Saccharomyces cerevisiae S288C: one gene and its partners. The gene in region 4 interacts genetically with the main gene of each other region. Each region holds a gene or a part of one and is shown on either strand. Other genes may lie near its edges. The genes, in order: YHR127W, YGL081W, CTK3 and PSK2.

What was found.
Region 1: mutations in PSK2 (region 4) and YHR127W together harm fitness more than expected from each alone (negative genetic interaction), as found in Saccharomyces cerevisiae (3 studies listed by BioGRID).
Region 2: mutations in PSK2 (region 4) and YGL081W together harm fitness more than expected from each alone (negative genetic interaction), as found in Saccharomyces cerevisiae (3 studies listed by BioGRID).
Region 3: mutations in PSK2 (region 4) and CTK3 together harm fitness more than expected from each alone (negative genetic interaction), as found in Saccharomyces cerevisiae (3 studies listed by BioGRID).

The regions. Positions count from the first base shown.
Region 1 is NC_001140.6:358,844-363,497, forward strand, and holds YHR127W (uncharacterized protein), read left to right. Parts: upstream 1-2,069; coding exon 2,070-2,801; downstream 2,802-4,654. Other genes in the region: YHR125W (uncharacterized protein), read left to right, coding at 15-320; ANS1 (Ans1p), read right to left, coding at 859-1,338; FUR1 (uracil phosphoribosyltransferase), read left to right, coding at 3,272-3,922; ARP1 (actin-related protein 1), read right to left, coding at 4,156-4,654.
Region 2 is NC_001139.9:355,726-360,623, forward strand, and holds YGL081W (uncharacterized protein), read left to right. Parts: upstream 1-1,651; coding exon 1,652-2,614; downstream 2,615-4,898. Other genes in the region: MIY3 (Miy3p), read left to right, coding at 102-1,247; pyruvate transporter MPC1, read left to right, coding at 2,911-3,303; KXD1 (Kxd1p), read left to right, coding at 3,719-4,375; RNA-dependent ATPase DBP3, read right to left, coding at 4,563-4,898.
Region 3 is NC_001145.3:42,497-47,347, reverse strand, and holds CTK3 (Ctk3p), read right to left. Parts: upstream 2,286-4,851; coding exon 1,395-2,285; downstream 1-1,394. Other genes in the region: ubiquitin-ubiquitin ligase BUL2, read right to left, coding at 1-406; DAT1 (Dat1p), read right to left, coding at 2,557-3,303; TAF8 (Taf8p), read left to right, coding at 3,773-4,851. UniProt on the Saccharomyces cerevisiae protein: Gamma subunit of the CTDK-I complex, which hyperphosphorylates the C-terminal heptapeptide repeat domain (CTD) of the largest RNA polymerase II subunit.
Region 4 is NC_001147.6:240,599-247,907, reverse strand, and holds PSK2 (serine/threonine protein kinase PSK2), read right to left. Parts: upstream 4,412-7,309; coding exon 1,106-4,411; downstream 1-1,105. Other genes in the region: PEX15 (Pex15p), read right to left, coding at 1-758; LDS2 (Lds2p), read left to right, coding at 5,161-5,403, 5,467-6,294; RRT8 (Rrt8p), read left to right, coding at 6,598-6,882, 6,961-7,309. UniProt on the Saccharomyces cerevisiae protein: Serine/threonine-protein kinase involved in the control of sugar metabolism and translation. Phosphorylates UGP1, which is required for normal glycogen and beta-(1,6)-glucan synthesis.

The DNA of each region.
Region 1 (4,654 bases), on a different chromosome or scaffold from region 4:
ATTCATTATTGATTATGATCAATGCAATAATGATTGGTAGTTGCCAAACATTTAATACGATCCTCTGTAATATTTCTATGAATAATTATCACAGCAACGTTCAATTATCTTCAATTCGGCTTCAGTACTGTATGAAATACTCGCTAACATTTTCTTTATTCTATAATAGCACAGTGACACTTAAACGTCAAACGTGGCGCACATTAATATACGATGTATGCATTTGGCTTGACACTGCTGTAATAAGGAACATCATCATCCGTCAACTAGTAGTCACATTAGTAGTGTATTATCACATGGTGTGTAAGAACATTACGTAAAGATTGAAAAAAAGTCATCAAAAATAAAGGAAGCTGAAACGCAAGGACTAGTAGTGTAATAGAATAATATTGTGTAAAAGTATCGATACCCTTTTTGGAATTATTGTATCTTCGAGGGTGGCTTTTAATATATTTTTGAAAACCTAATATTATAACCTTTCACAACAACGAAATCCCAACTGTTGTGTAATAATTTTACTCAATTCTTACTATTGCTTTACCAATCCTTGTATTTGAGCTCTCATAAAGTTCGCTGACTACTTCTCACGACTCATGTCATCTCCTTATACTGTATATGATAATATACTGGTGGTGAATGACAGCAAACTCTTTCTGGAAAACTTCTTGTCCTAAAGAACAAAATCAGTGTAATGTGTAGGCCAGTGTTATGTTTTCATGAATATGACATCTGATAAGAATAAAACAACTGGTAAAATGACTGCTTTTTCGGCTTATAAAATTCTAACATGTACATATTTTTTATAAAATGAAAATACTATTGTCCTTAATTGTACAATTTTTACATTTGGAGGCCAAATTATAAAAATAATAGCGCTGCTACTCCAACTATATAACCCATGTTCTTGGATTCAACCTTCATACCAGCACCTTCATAGACAGAGACATTTGCGGTACTACTTGGGGTAGTAGCAGCGGTAGTCTCAGGTCCAGACGCAGTGGCTTGGATTTGACCATCACTGATCTGTGAAATAGCGGCATCTTGCTTTTTGCCGGGTTGATGATCTGCAACAGCGCTTCTATTGGAACGATACAATGAGCCATTCCAACCACCCACATCATATACAGCTGCATTAGATATCTTTTTCTGCTGAGCTGCTAAGGACCAAGATGCGCTGCTGTTGAAGGCTTCATCAGTCGAATTAAATTTTCCTTCTATGTACGAGTTCGTACTATTCGCAAATTGTACGTCCAACGTGTCTGAGGAGTTGCTTACTTGTGCATGTGCAACTAGAATATTGGTGATGGCAAACAATGTGGAAACTAAAGTGCACTTCATGGTAGATTAATTATGATGTTCGTTTGATTCTGTTCTATATTTTTTATATGCTGACTGAACAGATTATAAAAATTAAATTACATGAAGTATTGAAGTTAATGTTGGCTATTTTTGAGGAGGAGGTTCACCTTTATATAGTATTCCTCGAGCTACAAAAACATGGATATTTTTACAAATGCTAGTAAAAAGGAAAGAGGTCAAAAGAAACGTTTGGCATCAAAAGTAATCAAAGTGGGGTCTAGATTTATAATTTGTACTACGAAGAATCGCGACTCAAGGTACCAGGTACGACTGAAACTTTCTTTTTGGATTTTCGAAGAGAGAAAAATTAGTTAGCATAAAAAGAAATATAAAAAAAAAGGAAAGGAAAAGTGTTCGAGACTTTACCATACAAAGAAATATTACGGTAGAAAAAAGAGCTGCACTTACCCAATACATATTGATGAGGTAGTATTCACGGTGAGAACAACTTACATCAACACCTCAGTTTGCCGAATCTGCAGTGATATTGTATCCAAAGTCTACTTTTCATCCTCATTTACTGTCATTACAGAAATTTGTCAGGAAAAGCAACCGGGTAAGGGAACTTTCAGGGCCAACGCGAAAAAAAAAAAGGTCCATCCATAGATTTTTTAGAAGATACACACCGTGAATTGATTAGAGATCATAGTAACCTCAAAATATACAATGTCTTAGATTGGAGCAGGCAGAAATATCTATCAGAGCACAAAATGGCTAGAAATAGAACAACCTCCAAGAAAAATGTTCAAAGTAAACGCTTAATAGACAGAGTGGTTCCCATGGACAAGATTAAAAAAGTTGGCGTAGCGAAAAAAAAAACCGTAGAACACACTAAAGAAGGATTTAGCGTTGTCAACGGTAAGCTAGTAAGCAGCAATGACGTCGGTGTACTGTTAAGAGAAGCACAGGGTGCTATCGATAAAAGAACTAATGTTTCCCAAAGAAATAGGAAAAAGGGAATAAAGAATAATAGGCCCCACAAAGACATAAACAGCAGTCCTGACTGGGGCAATGCCCACAGAGGAACCGATTGGCAGAGCGAAAAAGCAAACGGCATGAACAGGGCCAAGAACTCTCGGAATTTTACCACTAATATTAAATTGCAGCGACAACATTTTGGCGAAGAAATACAAGGTGGCAGCCAGCTTGTGATATCTACAAATTCAGATGCTTCAGATAAATTGTTAATGCTATTCAACCTAACTTTGGGAGTAAACCAAGAAAACTTGAAAAATGTTCTGGAAAACATTTCTCAGGTGCAGATAGCTCAAATTAGGGTTAGAGACCTGCCTTCAGGATCTGCCACCGCTAAGGTCCGTCTGGCATATCCTACAACACAGTCTTTGGAGAAGGTAAGAAAACTGTTCCATGGCGCTCTAGTTGATGGAAGGCGCATCCAAGTGGTGATTGCATCTGATGAATCGTCCCACTTGTCGTATTAGAGTTTGTCAACGACACTCACAAGGTATTTAATCAGCAAAATCCCCGCCACAAACTATTTTTTTGAAGACATGCTTTCTCATGACTGCCTAATAACAATACCTCATTCTACTAGTAATCGACCTATGTAATTATTTCATAAACTATAAAGCAGGTCATTGCAATAACAGAAAGGCCGGTTTTTCTATAAGCTTATCTCATCGCATAAAAAATCGACAGTTGTAATTATCTCCGGCGGACTTTTCCCTTTCCGTCTTTTTTTTCAAAATTTTTTTTTTTTTCACTTCTTCTTTCAAAGCTGCCTCAAAAGAGATATATATATTGGTAAGAATCCTCTTCCAATACTAGCTTCATTTCTTCTTGAACCATGAACCCGTTATTCTTTTTGGCTTCTCCATTCTTGTACCTTACATATCTTATATATTATCCAAACAAAGGGTCTTTCGTTAGCAAACCTAGAAATCTGCAAAAAATGTCTTCGGAACCATTTAAGAACGTCTACTTGCTACCTCAAACAAACCAATTGCTGGGTTTGTACACCATCATCAGAAATAAGAATACAACTAGACCTGATTTCATTTTCTACTCCGATAGAATCATCAGATTGTTGGTTGAAGAAGGTTTGAACCATCTACCTGTGCAAAAGCAAATTGTGGAAACTGACACCAACGAAAACTTCGAAGGTGTCTCATTCATGGGTAAAATCTGTGGTGTTTCCATTGTCAGAGCTGGTGAATCGATGGAGCAAGGATTAAGAGACTGTTGTAGGTCTGTGCGTATCGGTAAAATTTTAATTCAAAGGGACGAGGAGACTGCTTTACCAAAGTTATTCTACGAAAAATTACCAGAGGATATATCTGAAAGGTATGTCTTCCTATTAGACCCAATGCTGGCCACCGGTGGTAGTGCTATCATGGCTACAGAAGTCTTGATTAAGAGAGGTGTTAAGCCAGAGAGAATTTACTTCTTAAACCTAATCTGTAGTAAGGAAGGGATTGAAAAATACCATGCCGCCTTCCCAGAGGTCAGAATTGTTACTGGTGCCCTCGACAGAGGTCTAGATGAAAACAAGTATCTAGTTCCAGGGTTGGGTGACTTTGGTGACAGATACTACTGTGTTTAAATAAATCACACCCGAACACCATCTTGAAGGTTCAGAACGGCTGAAGCCGCATATCAACTTTTGGTTTCTACTGTTTTAAATTTCCTTTCTCGTTTTAAACCTTTGTTGCCGTCTCTTCTACTATCAATTTTGTTGTTCATGCATGTTTAATTACCTTTTTTTGTAAAAATAATATAAACGTATCAATGGCTATTTATAACAAATATGCTTGAAAAATCTAACGACTCTGTTTCTTACATTAGGTTCGAATAAACACGGGTACTGTCCTCTAGCCAATCTGACTTTTTGGTCCAAAGTCTTTGAAAGGTAGATAACCCCGTTAAAATAGAACCACCAATCCATGTAGTATATTTTCTTTCTGAAGGGGCTATAATCTTTATCTTGGATGTTCCTTTGGTTAATGCCTCCAAATCCCATAGCATTCGGTCTCCAAAGCCTTTAAGCGTTGTAGTTCCGCCACTTAGGATTATCGATGACAGTAAAGGTTTCCTTAAATCCAGATCGACTTTCCAAATAGATTGCATGCACATATCAGATAATCCATCGTACCCTAAGCCGATGATTTGAGGTGAAAATAATATTTCTGGAGCACGATATCGATCATTCCCCACCTCTATACACCTCCCGTCGGGCAATTTGAATGTCGAGATTAAATCTTGAGTACCTTGTAAGTATTTCTCCTCTTCCTTTTTAATATTCTTGGCCAAATAACAAACTTTCTCTTTCATCGTG
Region 2 (4,898 bases), on a different chromosome or scaffold from region 4:
ATGAAGGAGGTACAGAGGAAGCAAACAAAACCAAATTTGCTAAAATCAAGACTGGGGCAATTTTTCAGTCCGTATACAATCGTTCACAGGAATTAGCCAATATGGATGTTACATTTCTAACCAAAAATGTTCAAATAAATGGCACTCAGTTTAAAATATTACTTCAAAATGGGCAAGGTGAATGCGCGCTAATTGCACTAGCTAACGTATTATTGATATCACCTGCCCATGCTCGCTATGCCCAAGAAATTTCCAGACTAGTGAGAGGCAAGGAAACTGTTACTTTAAACGAACTTGTGCAAACTCTAGCCGACATGGGCGTTCAAAATCCGAATGGTACAGATGTGGACAAACAACAGCTACTCCAAATCCTACCACAATTATATAGCGGATTGAACATCAACCCAGAATTTAACGGATCTTTTGAGGACGGCGTAGAAATGTCGATTTTCAGGCTCTACAATGTCGGCATCGTTCATGGATGGATAATAGATGGGGACAATGATCCGAACTCTTACGAACATGTGTCCAAATATTCTTATATGGGCGCGCAAAAAGTTTTGGTACAGTCGTATGAGATCCAAAAGAATAATGCCCAATTTGAAAACAGCGAGCAAATCCAATCTGATGCACCTTACTTAAAATCGTTTCTGGCAAGATCTGCCACACAATTGACTGAATATGGTCTAACTCATCTCAGAGAAATTTTAGTAGAAAGATCGTATGCCGTGCTTTTTAGAAATGATCACTTTTGCACATTATATAAAAACAATGGCGAATTGTTTACTTTGGTCACGGATCCTACTTACAGAAATCGCAAGGACATAAACTGGCAGTCGCTTAAATCCGTGAATGGATCGCAGGATTCTTACTACACGGGCAACTTCATTCCCACAAGTCTGGAAAGAACAGAAACTACTGCTACCGGGCAAAATGAGTCCTACATTTCTAACCCATTCAGTGACCAGAATACAGGGCATGTAACTAGCAACCAAGTTAATAGTGGAGCAAGCGGTGTTCAACAAATCGAAGATGATGAGGAACTAGCTAGGAGGTTACAGGAACAAGAAGATATGCGTGCGGCAAATAACATGCAAAATGGTTATGCTAATAACGGTAGAAATCATCAAAGGGAAAGGTTTGAAAGACCTGAAAAAAATTCAAAGAAAAACAAGTTCCTTCCCTTTAATGGGAGTAATAAAGAAAAGAAAAGAGACAAGTTGAAAAAAAACTGTGTAATTATGTGAAACCATGATTTCTTTTTCGTCTTTTGTATCTTTCTTATAGAATTATTTTTTTTGTGGGTGTCACCACGCTAGCGCTTATTTTTAACTCTACCACTTTTTAATTTTGTAAATGTATATTTTACTCCTTCATGGCGTTCAACTGGCCTATTTGTGATATATAACCTGATAATACCAATGATTTATTTTTTTTTACAGATTCCTTCTCCTAAATTTGTCCAAACAAAACGGCTCAAGAAGCCCCGAATAATGCACTACAGCGGAAATTAACATTTTTGGGATATCTTCACAGAATACTAAAGCAATCAAAGTGGCTCATAGTATTGAGTTTTACAAATTACTTGAAAAAAAAATAATCACTAGGCAGTTGCATAAAGTTGAAACTGAGGGAAGGAACTGGGGAAATCATGGGTGATATAAGAACTTTTGTTTTCGCTATAGAAGATACGGAAACAACACAAGGTTTGTGTAAAACCATTGGCCGTTCGAGTTCATTTGATCAAAATAGTCTATGTAAGCCGTACAATCTATATTTTGATGAGCCAGAACTAAGCAGACAGCATGCTGTCCTATGTATAAAGACACCAATACCCAAAATTGAAGGAGTTCCCTCTATAGAACAACTCCGCATCTGCATTCGGGATTTGAATAACAAGACTGGTACAGTAAACTTAGTGTCTGATGGGCCAAATGATGAAATTGATTTGAAAAATGGTGATGCTTTTGGTTTGATTGCAATTGATAATCATCCTTTTCGCGACAACCATCATTTAGCCGCCAAGTTAATTTTCCGAATTGAACTTGAGTATTTCGATGAAGCAAGGGAAATCGTAAAGTGCACTATTACAAATGTAACATTTGGAAAGAATAATACAGTGTCATCTTTCCCTATTCATTCTGCAACATCCACAGAAGATAGCGATTCAAGTTGGTACGGATTGTCGGAAGCGAGTACGCAAACGGAAGTTGCAGATGAGTGTCATGAAACGAACACCATATTGACTCGAGGTGGTAGGTTTTCTATCCTTTCGTTGAGAAAAAGAGGCAGCAAGCAAGACCAGAAGATCTGCAGTAACTTTGATAGAAAAATACATGAAACGAGTTCTTTCGAAGAAGAAATCGAAGTTTGCACTGACACAGACACCACAGAAGAAAAAGAAGAAGAAGAAGAAAAAGAAGAAGGGGATGATGAGGAAGGAGAAATAGAACTTGAAATTATTAGAGTAAAAAGAATAAAGGGCAGGACGAAGATAAAGAAGACGCTTACTTGCTTCTCGAAAAACAAGAAAATTATTACCCCTCAGCACTCCAATAGTATGTGGTTACTACTAATAGTAATCTTGATTTTTGACCGCCTACTATCGAATTAAATATAATTTTATAACCCAGTTCTATATTGCTGGGTGGTATTATAGCTTCATGGCTAGTCAAATAAGTGGAGTTTTTTGCTCTGGACGTGGCCTGTAAAGTTCTCTTTTGCGACGGCCCCCCGCTTTAACCGAGGCGAAATGACAAGTGCTTTCTGGCAAAGAAGGAATAGCCACTACAACCTGCGGTCTCCACCTTTCTCCACCGATAATCTATTTAAACACTCACTTGCCAATCAGCAAACGTCAATACATCTACATATATACGTATAGATTTTATTGCACTGTGATCAAAAAGAATGTCTCAACCGGTTCAACGCGCTGCAGCACGCTCATTCCTTCAAAAATACATCAATAAAGAAACTTTGAAATATATTTTCACAACACACTTCTGGGGTCCCGTATCAAATTTCGGTATCCCAATTGCTGCTATATATGATCTGAAAAAAGACCCTACACTAATCTCTGGCCCAATGACTTTTGCTTTAGTTACCTATTCAGGTGTTTTCATGAAGTATGCTCTTTCAGTATCACCCAAAAACTACTTACTGTTTGGATGCCACCTTATTAATGAAACTGCGCAATTAGCTCAAGGCTATAGGTTTCTCAAATACACGTATTTCACAACAGATGAGGAGAAGAAAGCTCTAGATAAGGAATGGAAAGAGAAAGAAAAAACTGGTAAACAGTAAAACGAGCAGTCTAAGAACCTGAAGTAGGTGACTAGATGGAAACATAAAAAAGAACAAGCAAGGATTAAGAGGATGGATATGTTCATGCATATTCTCTCATTTTTACCTCTTCTCCTTTTCATATATGCATGCTATAGAACCATTATCTCTATGAGTTTCATTTTATTTAGTAGTTAGTATTGAACCAAACTACATAAGATGACATATTCTAAATAACCTAAATAATTATTATGTCTTTATTCAAATATTTCTTTTATATCCAAGACAATTTCCCTCTCATCTCCTTTGTATTACTGATTATATTCAGCCATTCAAAAAGTTAAAAAAGAACGTTTTTCACTGAAAAGTCGCAGCTATATTATAGTAAAATAATAAGAGAGGCAAAATAATGGTTACCAACACTTAGTGAAGAACAATGGTGACCGGAATATCGGAGGAAAATGATGATGAAGAGACTTTTTCGGCTGTTCATTCTTCAACACCCAGTATTAATTCTCAATCCTACGCGATTCCTATAACAGAGGAAATGTCCAGCTCTTTCCATGATTCGATCAGCACCACTAGCAACTCAAGTGGTAGCTTCGATAGTGATGGAAGTAACGTTTCAGATGTTGTGGAGCAAAATGAAATGGACAATGAATCTAACGTTGACGAAGATTTGTTCCTAGATAACGATATCCCTCAGTCAAGCAATTTGCTACCCACGGATGCCCAGGATCCTGGTCCAATATTTGACGTTTCTAGATATATTTTTGATTCTCTAAAACAATCTATTGATTCTGCTGATTTCTCAGAGGCACTTTCTCTACAGACCAAAACCTCCGCTGTTATAAATTCGAAAAGCCTAGAGCTTAAACAATATATTGATGAAATGAAGAGCAGGCTCACTCAACTGCAAGAGAAGTTTGAAAATGGTGAGGCTACTTCAAAAAAAATAAAACGTGATTTAGAAACTTCAAGAAAGAACATCGACTATTTAAACGCTGCTTTGCGTGTCGATTTCCCCATAGAGTTTAATCAGGCAAGAGAAAAAATTCTTGAGCGCAGATTGAATGAAGACCATGACTGCTGATATACTGAATCGTATTTTTTTTCTAGAAAATATGTATACTATGTGAGAGTCAATTTAAATAATATTAATGATAAATGAAAGTGGGCAGTTATAATAGTAATATACAGTGTTTTGTTAATAAATCTCCGACTCTCGATTGGCTATTATTAGAGAAGAAAATCCAAGATTGAAGTAAACGAAAAAACCCCTAATCGAAAGTAATTTTTTTTGGTTTCTTAGTCAAATCGACGTCCTTAAAGAATGAACCATAAGCGCTATGTTCCTTCTTCTTAGTGTGAGTACCGAACTTTATCAAATCTTCAGGAACAGGTTGATTGGCACCATTCAAAACGTTAACCAGTCCACCAGCCAAATGCTTTTCTTGTTCAGTGAACAGAGTGTGTGCTGTGCCTGTTTGACCAGCTCTACCAGTTCTACCGATTCTATGGACATAATCCTCCACAGTCAATGGGAAAGTTAAATTAATAACTGTCTTAACATTTGGTATATCTAAACCTCTTGCTGCAACGTCGGTGGCCAGTAA
Region 3 (4,851 bases), on a different chromosome or scaffold from region 4:
CTTCTTGATAAGAAGGGGGGAAATCATGTCTATCGGGATCAACGTTTCCTTGAGGTATGTGTCTGTGCAAGGCATTATACATCTCAAAAGATGGTAGGACATCCACTAGCATATTTGCTCTATGAGATAATCTTGACTGTGTGCAGTCCATTTCCAGTGAATTTTCCTCTCGTTCTTGTCGTAAACGGTCTAAATTGGTTGTTGAAGCGCTGCGTATGTCATCGTCCTGGCTGTCACTTGCACGTGGAGTCTGCCCACTATTTGGATGCAGCGAATTATCTGTAGAATTACTTGACAGCTGCTGTTGACGCCGCTTCCTCAATAGATGAATGTTATCTTCCGTAGAAACTGATTTTAAAGGAGGTCTCCCATTTTTCCTTGATGAAGTGGAGAATGTAAAAGTCATTAATACTTCTTTTGTTCCCCAGAATATATCTCAAATCTGCTGCTTCAGTTGCAAAGTCCTTGGCCAAAACGGGTAAGAAGTTGAGATTCTTGTCGAGAAATCCTACAGAAACAGAAATCAATTATTGGTAAGTTATGCACAAAATGATAATTGCAATATTTGCTTTACGCATATCTGTTGGACGATTTCAGAAATTTTTCTTAATTGGTAACGGCAGATAAAAAATAAAAATCACCAAAAGAGAAATGCAAAGAGCCTAGACTACCAGGAACAGGGCGAGCAATGGCGGGGCGACTATAAATATACGAACAGGAAAAGGCGAAAAACCGGTGCCGTATATACATAAAAAAATGATAACGCTTCAACGTGCAAAGGAACCGTCACACATTTTTGATGTGAAAGAAGTAATATTCTTGGCACTTTTCTATCGTGGACCTCTCTGTGAACGAATGCTCTTCCTCTGCTCAGTCCTTTCCAGCTTGTAACTAGACAAATTCCCCGCGGTTCTTTATGATCTTTAAGCTCGAACCACAAGGCAACAATGAACCTTCTCAAATTTTAAATTCGCTTATGTAGCAACCATATCAGCCCGAATGTAAATTCATTTGTGTAGAAATGCGGCGTAAAACCATCGAATGAAGGGAGTAGTCTAACATGGTATTTTCCTTGGCTTGTTTTAAGTCTCGTCAAACTCCTCTTTTGTGTGTTTTCAGCAATAGGCTACGGCCAGGTCCACAGAAATTGACTGTTTTATACTCAACAACACACTCTGCAAACCGTGTTAAGTTTATTCGTCTGCACATGTTGAGGACTACAATAAAAGTAACTTAGAGGAAAATTAGCCGCCGTTTCACCTTGAATAGTTTGCTTTTCCTGAAATCGAGATAAGAAAAAGACAAGTTCATTTTGTACGCGCATTGATACGTATATACGTATATATAATACAGATACGGATTCTCTTCACAGATATATATATAACGTCATGGTACTAATATATGTAAGATGCCTTCGCAATGTCATTTAAAGCCTTGATATTTTTGTAATCGTCCTTATCAAATCCGGAATCAGTAGTTTCAAAATGCGTCCACAAGCTTTTAAATTCGGATTCATCCAGTATATCGTTGGAGGGCCTTTCGATGTACCAACTTGTCTCTTTCGACCTCTTGTGCAGTTCCCTGTCTGCTTCCATCCTGTGCAACAAAATGTTTGCATTGGTTGGCTGCGTCTGTAAGTCCGGGTTGATCGCAGTTGTATCGGAATTGAACTGCTGAAAGAAAGCCAATTTCTTCAAGTCTCTGTCCTTAAGCAGAGACTCCGTTCGTTGCAATGATTCTTTATAGTCCTTTGTAGTCCTCTCTGTCTTGACACTGTACCAGGTAGTAGCGTCTATGAGTGTGGTGTCTGATGGTGTGTGCGTGACGCTGGTGGCGTCGTAATGGATTAGTTTGGATAAGTCAAGGAATAGCTCTTTACAGGTGGCTTGATTCGTGAGGGATTTCCAGTCCTGGCAGGGCAGACAAAGCTCAAAAACCAAGTCTATGTCCATGAGTAGCACTTCGTTTAACACTTTTGTAACATTGGTATTGGAATGGCTATGCGGATATAAGTTTCTTATTATTCTAACATAGTATATCACTACGTCCAGTCTATCTAGTGGGTCCATCTTCATGGTTGTATCGAACAAACATTGGTGGAAGTCCTCGTAGTGATGTCTGTAGTTTCTCAAGTAGAACTGTATAGGGTCATTGTTCAGCTTTTGTTGCGATGACGGTGGTGTGGTGGTCGACGATGATGTGATAGAGTCTCTGGTCTTGTGCAGCGTCTTTTGCAGGTTCTTCAGGACCTGAATGAATTGTAATCTAGCTTCAAGAGAGTCCATCCTTGCTGTATACCTTTACCTGGCAGTGCTTTTGTGAGAAATTAACTACCATCTGGTATTCTTTTTCCTTTTCTTTCTAAAATTCTAGTTTTTCATGTTGTGCTTAATTAGGAAAAACAGTGAATTTGAACAGTTGCTGAAGTTGAGATCAGTCTTAAATATACATTGCTCAAAGAAGTACAAATACATATAAATATAAATATCTATGGTTTTCTCAACTAGTTATTATGTGGCATATACGAATGTTTTAGTGGTATGCTGGAAATGAATGTCATATGGTTGCGTTTTTCTCTGTAGAATCGGAATTCTTAGTGATATGTGCTGCCGGCGATGGTTGCGTCCGTGGCTGATTTGATGCTGCTGTGCTTGTGGACAGATCAAGATATGGTTTCACAATGAAAGGCCGCTGTAAGTAGTTGTAGGGCCCCATCAGGAAAGAAGATGACGGGTCTTGATTGCTCCCATTTATAGTAAAGTTCATGTTCACGTTCACGTTGCTGTTAAGGTTGTGGTTTGAATTATGATTAATGCTGTGGTCGGCGTTGTAATTTGAATTCACGTGGCCGCCAGAGTTTCCCGTTGAAGATAACAGGATCTTGTGGGTGATGAACGGCTTGGGCGGAACGACGTCCACTCTCTGTTGCTGTAGTAGTTGTTGCTGCTGCTGCTGCTGCTGTTGTTGTTGTTGATCCATGAATGACTGATGGGTATAATCCAGAGATGGAGGCAATGAAGTTGACGCCGCTGCTGCATGCGGCGGTGGTGCTGCTGATGAATTATGAGCTGAGTGAGACGACGGGCTGTGCGTCAACTCTCTCAGTGCGTCCACAGCTTCCATGTCCCTGGAACTAATAAGACGCGACTCCTGATCTTGCTGAGACCCGTCGGTCTCTTTACCCCCAGTATCTTGCCTCCTCCTCCTACCACTGCCAGGCTTTCTTCCCTCTCTCAACGTCTTCCCTTTTCCGGGCTTTCTGCCGCTTCCAGGTTTCCTTCCTTGTGCCAAAGTTTTCGCCATCACCCAATGTCCTGCTCCAATATACTTTAGGACAGTTTGTAGATTCACAAGGTGATCTGTTCAAAAACTCCACTGACAATAATAGAAATTTTTTTTTTTTCATTTTCTTTCAAAACTCATCACCAAAAAAAAAAAATTGATGCATTAGCATCGGCTTCATAAACGAAAAAAAAAAAAAGAAGTTGAAAAGAAAACATGATATAAATAGTTGCAAACTAAAGTAAGATAACTGAAGATGATTAGTCCTGTTTGCATACATAGTTCTGTTCTTGTTCTACGCTGATGCGATCAATAAAGTCGCTTGAAACGCGACTGGTAGAAGCCAGCTTAAGCACAAATGGTGTATATGGGAGTGTTACCCGATGCTTTTATGTAGAAAATCTTGAACTCTTTAAAAAAGAGAGTAAAAGCAATGGAGAGAGAGGCAAGCAAGCAAACAAACGTGTAATTGAGGGACTCATAAAGGGCAATGACTTCCAAAACGTCAGAAAGTGGTACCGGTACCCAAAGTACCATAGTTCAGCTGAGGAACCTACCGGATTTGACGGAAATTAGTCACTTGGAAATAGATGCTCCCGTAGTTGAAATTCTAAAGAAAACAGTACTTTTCCAGTTGAATTCGTTGAACATCTGCATTTCAAACTTTGCATTGGATGAGCTGGTCAACCTCGTGACCGTCCAAATGGACGGCATGTTTCGGAACCTGCACAATTTAACACTTTTACAAAGAAGGTCGCAAGCTTCTCAAGCAGATTTGAAATTGTTGCTTCGAGAGTTTAACCTGGATGCGCCCTCCCTTTATCAGCAGTTTCAGGCCTCAGAATTCATCAAATCGAAGCATTCCACGGAATATGAAAAATTGATGAGCTGGTCGTCTCTTGCTGCTTTACCGCATAACGAAGAAGATGAAGAGGACGAATTGAATAATATCGAGGAGCAACAGAACGAGATCAACGTTTTGCTGCCTCCCTCTAACCCACTGGAAAAACAGATACCGAGTTGGCTGCCCAACTTTCCGCCTGACCATACCTATAAGTTTACACCTGAGTTCAACCATCCAATTACTGATCTAAAAACCATCAAGAAAGAAATAGTAAAAGAAAGCCAAGAGTCTGAAAAGGCACTATTGAACTTGAACAAAAGTCTCTCCCACATATCATCAGCGTCAAATACCCCGCAACCGCCGGGTTTAGACGATGAGGACGCTATCGAGCAACAATTGGAGATTTGGGGCAACGCGCTGGAAGAAAGGAAACCAACCATAACTGAAAAGTCCTTCAATGAAAACAATATCGAGCAGTATGCGAAGTATAGAGTGGAATTGGCGAGAGAACGTGTCACGAAATTTGAAGTGAATCAGTTGAAAAGAACAAAAAATCCATTCTTGAAAATTTCTGAAACTCTCTACCTTCCAGAGAGTCCTCACCAGTCTCACAAAACCATACAAAAAACCATAGAATTGCAATTTCGTAAGTCTATGACACTATTCATGCACAATTTACCTAAGGTCCAGAAGTTGAAGAAGGAAAAAATACGAATGGCCAAGGA
Region 4 (7,309 bases):
TTATCTTTTTGTATTTTATTATCTATTGAGTTCAGAATAGCATCCTCTATGGAAACATCTTTAGATAAGTAAAGGCCCTTTAGGGTTGGAGATAACTTAGGTAATGTTTTGCAAAGCGCCCAATACATATTCGGTGAGGGTTTTTTATGATGCAGTTTTACCTTCACCTGAAAGATGAATATCTCGATTAATTCTTGTAAGCCAACTACATCTATAGTTGTCCTCATTTTCGTTATGTATACGAAAATGAAATCACTCATTATGGATTCAAGCTCCAGAGTTTTTTCTTCTTGTTCGGTGTGATCAGTTAAGTTAAACTGAATAACCTTGATACAGCATCGAAAGAATTTATTGATGACCAAAAGTTTACTGAGGTCACCGAGAATAATTTTTCTTGTCTCAATACATTGAGGGGTATCTAACGTGAAAATATTCAAAATCTCACTCTGCAGTGTTAAACCTAATTTGGTAAAGCTGGGCATAATATCACAGGCGCTGACAAATAAATCTAATATCATAGGGTTGGACTTGAAAACGGTAATATCAATAAATCCAACCTCAGACATTTTTTCTAGGCAATCCTTGATATCTCTTTTTATGAAAAGGTTCACACATTCTTGAAATACTTCACTCCTCTGATCATTTACCGACTTGGTCGATTCATCACTTTCAATGAATAAGTCATCGTTAAGTAAATCCCTTAGAGAAGAATCGAGGGAATGCATAGGCAGATTGTTCATTATCTCACTTGCAGCCATTATTCACAGAACCCTCTTGTATAAACCACACCGTAGTACGTTCTGCTAGTGCCTCTTTCTGTTTACCTAACTATTTCTCTTGCCTAAATATGTAAGTCTACGATGACTTTTCTATGGTACTTGATGTCACTCCGACGGCGATAAGCCGCTCAGCGCAGAAGTTTGCCCCAAAATAGAATGAAAGAAAATACTGCATAGAGGCTGGACAAGAAGGATATAGAGCAATGATATGATATTAAAAATGTAATTAATATATAGCCAAAAAAAGAATAGAACATTTATGAAGGTAAATGGTTATGAAAATGGATTAAATTATTCTTTCCCTTTATCTTGGAGAGTACGGAAAACTAGATTTTAAGCCATTTATCTTCATATATTTCATCAATAGTAGGTCTTTTATCAACTTCTCTTGTCAAAATTCTTTTTATCAAACTGATGCATTCTTCACTGACATGTTCCGATTTATCGAACCTTAATTCACCTTCCAAGATTTCATCAATGTTGTAATAAGGATTCTCTTTATAAATTATGGTATAAAGTAGCACACCAAGAGCCCAAATATCTTGTGGTTTACCTTTGTAAGAGGAACCACCAAGGACTTCAGGTGCAGCATAGTCCATTGTTCCCACAAAAACATCGAATGGTCCACTCTTGATATAGGCAGCCGAACCGAAATCGATTAATTTTACAAAGCCATGAGAATCAACAATAACATTTTCGTCCTTTATGTCTCTATGAACAATTCCTTGGTCATGTAAATGCTTTATACTAGCGACTACCTGTTTAAACACCAGTTTAGCTTCATGTTCAACCATATCTTTTTTGAATTCGATAACATCAAATAGATCAATACTACCAGTTTCTCCATGGACCGGTGTTTCAATGTAATAATAATCGTCATCTTCAAAAAAATCTAATAACTTCAAGATATTTTCTTGGGAATTTTTATTCAAGGTCGCCATAATTTGGATCTCAGAAGGTATAGTACCTAATTTTCTATCTCTCACCCATGTGTCTACTAAAATCCTCTCTTTGAAAATCATTTTGATGACCACGATATAGTGTTCTCTGTTATGAATGCATAAATTGACTTTACCGTACGCACCCTCACCCATCACTTGCAGAATAGTAAAATCAGAAAATTTCTTTATGCGCTTTTGTGAGCCTATATTAGCCTCTGGAGTAGTCAAGTACGTAGCTTTTAAAGTAGAATTTCTTTTGTCTAGCTCATTTGTTTCCTTTTTGATTTCTTCTCCGTTTATCGGTTCAATTATCCTCATTATAAATTTTTCATCCACTTTAAAGTTGTCGTCCTTTACAAATTTTGATTTGTCCTGCGTGTACATTTTCGTTAATTCAATTTTATGTTTTAACTCAGGATCATCAACCATTGTCATGTCATCGTCATAGTTATTGTTGTCATTAGATTCGATACCTCTCACTTTACCGCAAGAAGTTTCTCGTAGTTTTTCATTCACTTGATTTAAGTCTACTTCATCGTCTGAATTAGAAATCGTTTCAGCGGAGCTAATCGACAGATCAGCCATTGCCTTCAAAGTATTCACAGGAATTTTTTCCGAAGATTTCTTGGAAGATGCACTGGAACTACCTCTACTGCCAACGACATCAATTTCGTTCTCCTTTAACATCGGTAGCTGCGAAGGAACGGTGGTATAATTTTCAATGACCACGTCTCTTGAGTGTGTAATCCATAATAATACAGCATTCGTATTCAAGACCCGTAATTGAACATCCACCTTTATCAAATTACCATCTTTGTGACAGCCGTCTAGACCAATAGAAGTGTAAAACGAGTCCTTATCATGATGCATTTCAGCCTCAATTTTTCTGAAAAAATGTTCTGTTAAAACCAATCCTTTATTTTCTGGTAATGTGATATTTAACATAGGATAAGTTTTATTGATATAAGATATCATGTCCGCCAAAGAAGGAACCAACTTAGTAACCGAACTACCGGCCAACTCGTGAAGTCGCAAGCCAAACATGTTTTTGGCGACTGATTTGTTGAAACTTAAAAGACTTAAAGTGTGACTGTCAACAATAAATAGCCCAGCCTGATAGGGCAAACTATGAATTTTTAATTTTATTTCGTTTTCCAATACGGAAGTTGTAACAGCACATGGTATATTTTCAGATAGACAATTCAACGTAAAATATCTCTCTTCGTTGACATGATTTGCCACCCTGATAGACAAGGGTAATAAATCATCATCTGCAGAAAACACTTTTCCAAAACGTACATCATCAATTAGTTTACTCAGTGAGTGACTTACTGACCCAATATCGTGAATTTCATTTGCAAATTTTACCGTTTTCTTTTCTGTCATTGGCGAAGTTGATTCTTGCTGCTTTTTCTTGTCAAAGTTTTCCAGAAAGTGTGTTGTATCAATAATGCTGTCCACTGAAAAATCTCTCAAGTTTAACATGACGTCAATGTAATCGCAAGGCGTTTTTTCAAATACGCAGACCAGTAGGCCATTCTTCCGCTTGGCCCATAGTGAAGCCCAAATCAGATTTGGTACATTATTATTGCTTGTCGAATTTGGCTGGACGATAGGTATAGTTTCTCCGGTAAACACAATTTCTTGGTTATCATCTTCTGCATTCATGATTTTCTCTAGAACAAAATTTCTGCTATCCGTATGAATAAGGTCTAGTAAAGTAAGTGCCTTGATAACATTCTTTGATATACCGAACGTTAGACACGCCAAATCATTGGCAGCTTTGAAGTTCCAGGGGTATTGTTGAGAACATGTAAAAATGGCCTCTGGACCAGAATTTTTTGCAGATGTGAAAGGATGAAGAATTCGGCTATAGTCCTGTTGTGGTTTGATGTCTGCTAAGGAGACTATATCATCGTGTTTCTCCTCATATTCATTATATTGCGATTTCGAACCTAAATCTTTGTGAGGGAACTTCTTGTAGTTTTCAAAAAATGGTTCTGCTAAACTATCTAATAAAACCTTTTTCAAAGTTTCTGATTTTTGAATGTCTGAATCAAAGTTTATTTTCTTGATATTCAATAACGATAGCATGTGTAAATCGGAAGCTCTTTCGAAGGAATTGTTTTCCAATGCTAAATTTAGCAAGAATAACAAGTTTTCTAACTCGGACTTGGCTGGATTCAGTTTACTGGCAGTATCATTATCAGGCAACACCATTAAGGACGTTGCTCTCTGTATCACGGGTCTACTAGCAGGAGATGGCATATTGGATACTAATGGTGAAATTAGAGACCCATTTAACGGATCTCGCGATGCTGATAACGTGGCAGTCTCTGTTAAGTTTCTTGTGTGTCTAAGTGAGGGGGGGTATGCTATTACGGGTGCTTTTTTCTTCAACTCATGTAAGATGTCAGGACTGTTTACCATTATTTCCAAAGACCTTCTTAAGATGGTCAACCTTACTCCCAGTGAGTTTGGTGATATGGGATTATACGAAAATGCATGCGGCGACTCATTAGGTACAGCAACAAGGTCCGAACGATCATCATCACTGAATGTTGACGAAAACGAATCGACGGACGAGGAAGCGTGTTGGTACAAGCATGGAGGTTTAGAGAGCCCTACCAACGGGGTATTTTTAGAATATGAAATGTCGGCAGGAGCGGCTGCACTAACCGGGTATGTCATTGTGTTCTTTGTTTATGATTCTTTACTTTAATCTAGCAGGGCAGAGGAGTAACAATAAAACGCCCTGCAAAGAAGTATGATTACTGTTCTTGCCAGACTTAGAATTCTAAGTGTTAAAAGTCACCAATAAGGAAGGAAAAAAGTTTATGATAGTTTATACTGTTGTTGTTACTACCTGCTCCGTTATGTTTCTAACAAGGAATAAAACAGGGTATAGACGTGATGTCAGCTTAAAGAGGAAAACGAAATATGTAAACTTTGTTAAAAATAAACAGGGCCCCTTATTGATCGTTCGCGATGCTATTATTTTATAAGCCAGCCTTTATCGTTTCTTTTGATCTTGTTTCTTTTTCTTGTTTTTTTTTTTAACTTCGTTCTCTTTTCACGTACTGATTACTCACACCAGGAGAAAGAAGTTGAAAAATGCTGTTATTCTCTGGAACACGCTATTAGATAGTACTTGCTGGTTCCGTAGACAAACAGCTCTTGCGCTTTATCACTTCGACAAGTGTCTTTACAGCTTCGCGATGACATATCGTCTCTTGCCCCTGCCCCACCTGTAACAATAGCTTGGCCAAAAAAGAAAAAAATGTTCCGACGAATTTTTCCGCTGATTTTGGCTGATCGCGTCGCGCCACAAAAACGAAACTTCCATAATAAAACATTATATAAAGCTTTTTATTATTATTATTATTACTTTCTTAGTTATAGCATTAGAACTATAAGAGCTGCTAAGACACCAAGCAAACATGTCGACTAGACCCCAACCTGATTGGTATTACCATAGACATCCATATGCCTCTACGCCACTGGCAGAAGGGGAGGAACCACAATTACTCCCCATCCAAGACCAAGGGAACCATAAGAAATCAAAAATTTGGATGGCATACAAGGCTCCGATAGTTCGATGGTACAAGAATGCTATGCTTGTTAAAGACAATTTTTGGAAAGACCTAGAGTCGTCGCACCAGATCATCTGGTATCCGTATAAAGTATGTTGATGTTCCAATAAGCAGATCATGTTTTTTAAGCCGTCATACTAACCGCCTTTGAAGGGAATTAGCGAATCCGTGGGAAACTCGGATTATTTGCATCTATTTTTCCTAATATTTGGATACTACCTGCTGAATCTCCTGCTTATTGTTGCGTTTACGTCAATCCTTGCGTGGTCCTTGTTAGTGTGCATCTATTTGCCCTTTCTCGGACTCTTTGCGTTACCTCTGGCTTATATGCAAACTATTCTGATTTCCACAACGCTATGTAATTCTATGGTGAAGGGTACCGATTTCGTTCTTTTCACACGTATTTATGGAGTGACGTTCGCAAGAAAGGGATTAACAGAGTTGAGTGAAGCCTGTGAAACGATAAGTTTCACGCCCTTTGTCTACAGAAGGTCACATCGTTTGGGTGGCCTCTTTTCGAAACGGTTTTACCTCGTCTCTTTGCCGCAGTTTTTCATTTTTTTCTTCTGGTACATCTTCATAGCCTTTATGTTTCTTTTATTGTTGCTCGTTCCAATAGTGGGTCCAATTACAATCAATATGCTACCATTTAGCCCCGGAATGGGATTTTACTATTTTGAGCCTTATTTTGTTGACGTGCTACATTTGGATTCGCGCAAACTTTCCAAAGTTTACTACAAGGGCTTTGCCAAGTGGCTCCTTTACTCGATATCCAGCGGTTTATTAGAGTCTATTCCCATTCTGGGTGGGTTGTTCATTGGAACAAACGCAGTAGGTGCTTCGCTTTGGATAGTTAAAGAGATAAAAGACCGGGACCAGCCAGCCGTACCTCCTTCCCCTCCTGCGGAACCAGAAGAGCCTACTGTAGGATCCTATGCACCTCCAATCCAACAATCTATAGCTCACATTAATCCGCCATGAAGCTCGCAACTCTTTTACATACCAATTTATATATTCATTATATGTTTACATATATAAATATATATATATACTATATACTATATATTACTTGCTAATAATATTCGTTTCTTTTCAACATTTGTATATGCATAAAAAATTTGGGAAATCAGGGGACTTATGAAAATCAGGGTGGTTACACTCGGAACTTCAAAACCTAAATAAAGTAAATCACTTTCAAGAAAGGTGAAGGGACGTCAAAAAAAGGAAAAAAAGGGCAAGGTATATCCCTGAGGACCCCTGGTTGGCTGTAAAGACAAACTAAGGATGAAAGCCGGAATTGAGCTTATAAGTCACAGCCAGGCTTCTCACGCCACATATGCTAATTCTATGACCCTTGCAGAAAAGGGGCCACAACGTTTAAAAAGACAATTCAAAGAACACAGTTCTTCAAAGGAAAGTAACGTAAGTCGTTGGCTAAAGATTTTCATAAGACAGTTTGATATTTGGTTTCCTGAAACGATACCAACAATGAAAGTGAGATACGAACTGCTTAGAAAAAACTTCATTAAAGAAATTTTCAACTCAAGAGCATTTATCTACCCATTCTTAGTAAGTACATGATTTTTGTTTGCATTGATATGACTTGTTTTATGACTAACATATTTAATTTTTATTTGTTAACCGTAGGGGTTTTATGAAGTGCTGACGAATCCTGTTTATTGGAAGCATATTTTACTGTTTGCGGTTTGCTATGCCCTGATTTTTGTCACTATTGCTGGTCTCTTTTATGTCACACTTGTACCGCTTTTAGTGACATGGGCCATACTGTTATTAGGGCCTCTTGGTGTGATACTGGTTCATATTCAATGGATTTTACAAACGAATGTCTTGACTGCCTTTGTTTGTAGAACACTGGTCCTGACCCATATTACGAATCAGATATTTGATATATCTTTGGTGTTGCAAGACCAAGATGAATTTCTAAACGAGGTGAAGGTATTGCCTAAACCACAAAAGCCACATAGAAAAATCGATG